Linked DNA regions of Alligator mississippiensis. The protein of the gene in region 1 binds, or shares a complex with, the protein of each later gene. Links are inferred from orthologs where the notes say so. Each region holds a gene or a part of one and is shown in the gene's direction. Other genes may lie near its edges. The genes, in order: PPP2R5C and CRYBG1.

Evidence for each region.
Region 2: the proteins of PPP2R5C (region 1) and CRYBG1 are in contact, whole or in part, in a crystal structure (PDB 6VRO), measured with the Homo sapiens proteins. The link is inferred for Alligator mississippiensis from reciprocal best matches to the Homo sapiens genes PPP2R5C and CRYBG1. Residues at the interface, in NP_002710.2 of Homo sapiens: Lys183, Thr184, His187, Tyr190, Gly191, Leu194, Arg197, Ala198, Arg201, Glu226, Ile227, Ser230, Ile231, Asn233, Gly234, Phe235, Ala236, Lys240, Glu242, His243, Pro265, Gln266, Tyr269; in NP_001358171.1 of Homo sapiens: Pro1136, Phe1138, Ala1139, Met1140, Pro1141, Pro1142, Ile1143, His1144, Glu1145, Asp1146, His1147, Glu1149.

The regions. Positions count from the first base shown.
Region 1 is NC_081825.1:284,642,420-284,646,329, forward strand, and holds the start of PPP2R5C (serine/threonine-protein phosphatase 2A 56 kDa regulatory subunit gamma isoform), read left to right. Parts: upstream 1-1,643; 5' UTR 1,644-1,734; coding exon 1,735-1,761; intron 1,762-2,370; coding exon 2,371-2,436; intron 2,437-3,910.
Region 2 is NC_081824.1:92,636,512-92,640,421, forward strand, and holds the start of CRYBG1 (beta/gamma crystallin domain-containing protein 1), read left to right. Parts: upstream 1-1,072; 5' UTR 1,073-1,114; coding exon 1,115-1,305; intron 1,306-3,910. UniProt on the Homo sapiens protein: May function as suppressor of malignant melanoma. It may exert its effects through interactions with the cytoskeleton.

The DNA.
Region 1 (3,910 bases):
AGATGCATTTTCATTAATGTTTCTATCATGTGGTCACATACACACAAAACCCCCAAACTTGCCAAACATTATTGGATTAGTCCAGTCTTTCTGCATCTATATTTGGCCTGATTTATTGAGTCCGGTTTATTCAGCCTGGCTTATTCAGTCCTTCTGCATCTATATTCAGCCTGGTTTAATGCCCCAGGAACAGCAAACAGCACTACATTTTCACTGAACTACTTCTCAGGACTTGATGGCTACCAGCGAAACTATCAGTTAATTCTGTTCCATTGCTGGGGAAAAGCTCAGTAACAGCAAACACGCTGGACTGACGCAGGGACGAGGACTAAAAAAAAATGTTAGTGGAAGTAGGACTGGAAGAGACACGTTAAGTCACTGAGTCTAACCCCCTGCTACATAACCCCCTTCTTAAGTGGATCAAGCTCCATCATAAAATGCTTTTACCCCCATTAGCCCTATTCAGAGGCTACTGTGTAGACACCGTATACTAAAGTTACTCACAGGCAACAAGGTCTTTGGGTAATAAAAGTTTTTTTCCAACTATTTTTTTAAGGAACATTTGGATGCTTATCTGCTGGGATCCTTTGACCTTAGCTGACTTTCTGCCCTTTGGGCAGGGGGCTGGACCCAATGATCTTATGAGGTCCCTTCTAGCCCTAATGTCTATGAAATTTATGAAAAGATATTGAATTTACCACCTTGTCTGCATATATCCTTAGACCAACACAGCTACAGCCTACACCCCTGACAGTCACTCACAGGCACAGCAGAAGAGAGAGCATCCCCGCCCCCAGAAATATTAACACAGGGACTGGGAGTGTGGGGAAAGGATAACGCTGAAGCCAGCTCCTTAGTCCCAGTTCCTTGTTTCCAACTCATCACAGACACAATTAAAGGCTGGCAGCGATGAACTGGACAAGCGAAAGAGTTCGAACGTGACGAGAAATAATCCCAGCCGGATCTCAACTCTTTATTCAGGGCTGCGTACTTGAAACACGACACGATTTCACATTTGTATTAGTAAATATACTAATAAAAAACTTATTAGTCAATATACTAATAACAACAAAAAACTCTTCGGCTTGTCGACCTCATCGCGACCGGTCTTCCATGGCGCGCAAGATCGGCGTTGAAAAAGGAACCGGGAATCAGGAACCGACAACTTCAGCCGCCCTCCCGGGGAAGGGACGGGCAGCAGCACAGCGCCTCCCCGCGCCGAAAGAGCGGAGCAGGGCCGGACCCCTCGCGGCGGCGGAGCTGGAGCTGGAGCCGGAGCCAAGCCGGGCCCGGCCGGGCCGGGCCGGGCCGGGTGCGAAGAGCAGCAACAGCAGCCGCCGCCGCCCCGGGCGCAGACCGCCCCCTGCGCGGGGAAGAGCAGCGCTAGCTCTCCCATCAGGGCGCGCGCGGGAAGCCGGGGGCGGCCGGCCGGCTGCGACCCCGCCTCCCGGGCAAGGGGTGGGGCGGGGCGACCCCGCCCAGCCGCCAGCTCCGGAGTGTGACGTTGCCGCGGGGACCCCGCCCCCGGTGACGGGAAGGGGGAACGTTGGTGCCACGTGACGCGCAGCAGCCAATGGCGAGGCGGCGTGCCAGCCCTGCCGGGCGCAAGGGAGGGGTGTGGGTGGGAGGGGGAAGAGGCCGCGGCCGCCGCCGGGAGCCGGAGCGGGGGGAGCGGCAGCGCGGAGCGGGGACCCCGGAGGCCGCGCCGCTGCGGCCCGGCGCTGACCGCCGGCCATGCCGAATAAAAACAAGAAGGAGAAAGTGAGGGGGGCCGGGGGGGCAGCGCGGAGCGAGCCCGTGGCGGGGAGGGGGCGCGGGCCCCCCGGGGGAGGGGCGAGGAGCTGCCTACGGAGGCTGGCGAGGGACGCGGAGGGGCGTCCCGCTCCCGGCGCTAGGGGGAGGCGGAGCCTAATCCCGGGGATGCTGGCGGGGAGCTCCTTGCCTCAGTTTCCCCGCGAGGGGTGGTGCCCAAGGAAGGGCTAGGGCTGGGACGAGCACAGCCCTGCTCGGCAGCAGCCGGGGCCCCCTTCACCCGCCTCGTGCCGTTATTTCTAATGTCAAAATCAGCCCCCAGCCCCGAGTCTGGCTGCAGGAGGGGAGTCGCAGCATGCCACGGGCCTCAGTTTCCCCAGGGTTTGTGGTGGGAGGTGACTTGGGCACAACCCGCCTCCTCCTCCTCCCTTCAGGGCTGCCCTGAGGTAACCAGGTCCAGCCTGTTCCATCCCTGGTCCGGTGCAAGCGACTTGCCCTAGTTGCCCTGGCTTCATGGGTGAGGCTGGTGCAGCCCCGGGGGGGAACCTGCCTTTTTCCGCCAAGGCGAGAAATGGGGCAGAAGCTGGAAGCGCTGTGACGAGCCTTCTTCATTTGCAGGAGCCTGTGAAATCGGGGAAGAGCGGGAAGAGCGGCAAAGATGGGCAGGATAACCAAGAGCATGAGGTAAATGTCATGAAGGCGCGGCATCTTCCCAAACGTGACGCGGTCTTCCCAGATAATGAACGGAAGGAAGCTGCCTCGTACGGAGCGCGGCCGAGTTCCTGGTGATGGGACGGGGAGGGGACCCGCGCGGAGGTCAGGAAACTATGAAGGTTCCTTTGAGGGAGGACAAGAGATCTGTCGAGCTGCTTGCAACTCATGGGAAACGCTCTCAAGGTGTTTCTCGAATTAAAATAGACTGGGTGGACTTCGTGGCTTGCTTTGTGCTTTCAAGAACCCATCGCTTTTCTTCTTTTGCTTTTGTCTGCCTTCATCAGCTATTTGGGGCATAACTCTTATCCTTGCCTTAGCCTTCTAGTCAGGTAATGGGCTTGCCTTTTTTTTTTAAAGCTGCCTACTCAGATTTTTTCACCTGTTAGTTTATCTTCCTCCACAGTTTCCAAAAGCTAGCATCTAGTTCAAGAGAGCCCATCAGTAGCCTGTTTCAAGCTGGACTTGAATGTTTCTAGTTCGTAGCATCCACCTTTCTGTATCTAATGATTTTGCTTTTTATAACCATCTACTGAAGTGTTTCACTTCTGACTGACAGTTCTGCTATTGCTGCTGCTTTGTTCCTTTTATCATCTTGCTGCCTTGCTCTCAGCTCTGCCCACCAGCTAGGTATGATGGTTTCAAAGGGGTCAATTAAATTGTTACTCACACTCCTTCCCACAGAACCTGAAAACATCCCATTAATAGAATCTCTCTGTTTGGAAATTCCAAACCCTGTAATGTTTTAGTGAGTTCTGAAATTCCTTAAAATACATTCACGCTAACCTGAACATATACTTTCACTGAAAAATCCCATGTCTTCCATGTTCCATGGGTGTGTTTGTTATGTCTTTGCTCAAAACATTTCTTTGCTGCATTATGATGTAAACAAACTGTTTGCATTTTTATCCTGCAGAGCAAGTGCTCTATTTGTAGGGAGCTTCATTGAGATTTTATCTGTGTTGCAGATAAAAATATTGTATAAGGTGCATCTTACCAGTATTAGTTTATTCATAGCAAACTGCTAAGTAACCAAATCATAAATGCTCACTGATTAATCTGCATTAAGTTTTGAAATTTGGTCAAGGGAAATAGGCTTTAACAGTAGCTGAAGTTTCTCAATATGAAATAACATTTGCAATAGTTTGCAATAATTTCATTTTATAAATACTCAGTCTCCCCTGCTTGAGTTGCCTAGCTTCAACTTAATTGTATGACATTTAAAGAAACACTTTTTTTTTTTTTTTACTAGGGTTGCACTTCATTAGCAATTATGACAAAAAAAGGTTTTTAAAATCAGTGTCTTTATAGTATATAACTGGACTAGTTTATCCAAGTTGCCCTTATAGAAGAGATTTCTAGGAACTTTTTAATTGACACTTGTTGCTGAGATCAGCTTTCATTTTTTTCCCAATTACTGTGAGCAAACTATAACAAGTTCTCAAAT
Region 2 (3,910 bases), on another chromosome or scaffold:
ACCCTGCCCCCCCCCATACCCCCCTACCTGTCGCCTATGCCTAACACCTTAACCTGCCACAGGAAAAGCAGGGGAACCACAGCAGCCAGCATCCTGCTTCTATGAGACATTGGCAATATAGATTTCCCTTGCCAACTGCTGGGGTTAGGTTCCTGAAAGTTCCCGTGGTTGGCAAAACCGTGGTTGGCAAGACAAAAGGCTTATGAGGAAAATGGCAGGTGGCAGGCTGATGCGCACCCACGGTAAACCATGGTTACTCAAATCGGTATACTGTGGTAGCCAAAATTGTATACAGAATATTAAGCGTGGATATTCAAAACCGTGGTTGGCGAGGGAAACCTGCATATGCCCAAGAGGTCCCAGGCAAAGGGCCCTGCCCCCCTGCTACAGAGGAAGGCAACTCCCCCCTCCTCAACCAATCTGACCATGAGGTAAAATCCCTTCCTGGCCCTAAAAATGGCAATTGGTCTGAACCTGAACCAAGGGGTGAGACCCTCTAGCCAGGGCTGCGGGCCCAGCAGGTGCACTGGCACACACCTCAGCTAAAACCTCCAGCCTGGGCTGCAGCCAACACCCAAAGCCTCTGAGGGAGGCTTCAAAACACCCTGCCCCATGTTTAGCAGGGATGAGGTAGATGCAAAGGAGTCAAGAGACTCCCTCAGCAGCTGCCTGACTACAAGGGCCGCCGCCGTGAAACTCGGGGCGGAGCAGGGCTGCAAGTGGACGTGTCCCCTCTCCCCGGGCGCCCCGGACCGGCTGTTTGCTGGGAAGAGCAGAGGGACGGGGCGGGCGGCTGCGCCCGGGGACAAGAGGCTAATGGGTGGCTAATGGGGAACGCGAGCCTCTCCCTTCCTGTGCAAGACACGGGGAACCTGCTGGGGCGGCGGGGAGGGATTAAGGACCGCGGGAGGGAGGGAACTGCTTGAGCCAACAAGCCACGACCCACGCGGGGGTGCGGGGACACGAGGCTCAAGGAGCTGCCGCGGCTGCGGACCCGCCAGGGAGAGCGCGGCAGGGCGGCTGGCCCCGAGGACGTGCCCCGGCCATGCAGCAGGGCGGAGGGCTCCGCAGGCTCCTGCACCGCGGCGGCGCCGACCAGCCGCCGCCGCACACCATGGGCCGGGAGTCGCCGTCCCCCCCGCGCCGCGCGCGCCCCGAGCCTCATGGCGGCTCTCCCGCGGGGCAGCCCAGGAAGCGCTCACCCTTCAGCCCCTGGCGCCTGCGGAGGAAGCAGCCGCCGGAGGACGGCGAGGGGCTGCCCCCGTCCTGCTCCGCCTCGCCCCTCTGCGCCGCCTCCGGGGACAGGTAAGAGCTGTGACGTGCCCCGGCCCCAATGCAGGGCAGCTGTCCGCGCTACTTGCCCAGCCGCTGCTCCCGGCTCGTCCCGCCTCCCCGTGGGGTGGGTGGCCCACACCTGAGCTGCGGCCACCTGGGTAAAACACTCACACGCTCTCTCTGGGAAGCAGACACACACACATACACTCTTGGAAGCAGACAGCACGCACACACATACACATACGCGGAAGCAGACGGCCCCCCCCCCCCCACACACACACACACACGCTTGGAAGCAGACAGCACACAGACACACATACTTGGAAGCAGACAGCGCACTCGTGCACACACACTTTTGGAAGCAGGCAAACCCTATGTCAGACCCAGTTAGCTCCCCCTTTGAGCCTCCTCTCTGTGCTGCTGCGTAACCAGGCCACGCTCTGGGACGTGGGCCCGTGCCCACCAAGCAGAGCGATCAGCCCCACTTCAAAAGAGGGGGGCATAAAAGGGGCAGCAGTGGTTGCTTGGGACACCTGGGAGACAAAACAGGGATGGGAGTGAGGGTCAGTGGTTGATAACGGGTGCCCCAGAGGACGGGGGCACTGAACACAGCATGCTGGACAGTGCCCGCCAGCCCTTGAATGAGTCCAAGGAGCCAGAGGACACTGCCTGGTGGAACTCTGCCTGGAGATGCGAGTGGACCAGAACAGGAAAACAGCCCCATGGTGTTGTGTGACATGGTCCTGTTTGATGTGTATAGAGAACATGGGCTATTGCCTACCAAGTAAAGCTATAAGCCCCTTTTAATATTGGGGGCTACAAAGTACACATTAAGTAATTACTGGGGGAAAATAACGAAGAAAACAGGAACAGGAGTGAAGGTAAAAGGTTCAAAGTGAGTGCACTAAGAGGGGGCACCAGGCAGAGCACACTGGACAGTGCCCACCAGCCCTTGAATGAGTCCAAAAAGCCAGTGCACACTACCCAGTGAAACTCTGTCTGGAGATGTGAGTGGAGAGGGGCAGGAAACGTTCTGTGATGTAGACCTTTTAATACGCCATTCTGTGACGTGGGCCCAAGCTCACCAAGTAGAGCTCTAAGCCTCCCTTGGTGATGGGGGCAGGGGGAGGGGGGAGGAGGCCTTAAGGGCATATCACTGATTGCTCGAGACAACTAAAAGACAAACAGGGATGGAAGTGAGGATCACAGGTTCAAAATAAGTGCACCAAGGGGGGAAACTGAGTAGAGCACAGTGAACAGTGCCCACTGGCCCTCAAATGAGTGTGAAGAGCCAGTGGACACTGCCCAGTGAAACTCTGCCTGGAGATGTGAATGCACAAGGGACAGGAAAGTAGACCCTTGGGCCTGTGTGATACAGGCCTTTTTGTCACTTTGGGATTCGTGGGCTAAAAGCTCACCACGGGAAACTATGAGCCCCCCTCAGAGACAGAGGTTACTGAGAAAGTGGCAACTGATTGCTTGGGGCAAATGATAAAAGAACAGGGACGGGAGTAATGGTCAAAGATTAATAACTAATGTGCCAAGGGGGGACACCAAGTAGAGCGCATGCAACAGCACCCACTGGCCCTCAAACAAATCCCAGGAGACAGTGGACACTGCCCAGTGATATTCTGCCCAGAGACAAGAATGGACAAGGGACAGGAAAGCATCCCCTCAGTCCTGTATGACACAGGGCATGGGGCAAGAAGGATTTAGGGTCGGACCCAGTAAATAGCAGTTCTTATGTTCTTAAAGCTAACCCTATCTTGTCCCCATCTGAAACCTAGTAATTCTCAAGCAGGGTTATGGCAGCACCCTGGGGTGCCTCATGAGGTGGCATGCAGTGGCAGTGCTCTTAGATGCACAGGTGTGATGCACAAGATAAACTTAGAGATTTTCAAGAGGAAACTGTAGTGTCAAAACCATTGTGCCCTGCTGTGGGCTTGCCAAGGTCTTCACAACAGAACAGCTCTGTAATTTTTCTTTAGCCAAAAACTGAATGGAAATGAAGGGCTGGCTATTTTTTGAGGGCTGTGTTGGGTTTAATGAGGACTGCCTCAATTCTGTACATGGGGTTCCTCTATCTAGGGGTGCCTCGAGCTAAAAAGGTTAAGAATCACTGCTGGAGCTGATCGTGTGTGATCATGAAACATACACAAATACTTAGGAGATCAGTGTGACTAAGGTGATTTAGGAATAGATGAGTTTTCCCCAGGAAATTATCTAAACACAATTTCAGTGACATTACTGGTGAAGGACTTTACTGGAACTGGTTACTGAACCCAAGACTGTTTGGCAGGGGGAGCAGAGCACTGATTGCACAGCATTTGCATTTACCTGGGCATCAGTTTTCCTTGGATCTGGGTTATAGCACTGAAATCAGGGATGTAAAAAGTTAAGCTCTTTTTCTTTGGAAATAAGTGGTTAGCTGCATGTTTGGTCAGCATGCCTTATGCATGCATCAGTGACAGTATTAACAGGTGTAAGTAGTAGTCATCCTATGCCTGGGGCAGAAGGAGAATTCCTGGAGTAAAACAAGTTCATAAAATACAGTTGAGGTATTTTTAGTAGCTGCCAGACTACTATAGTAGCTGACTTGGTCCACATTATCTTTTTCTCCACTAATGGGCTCAGC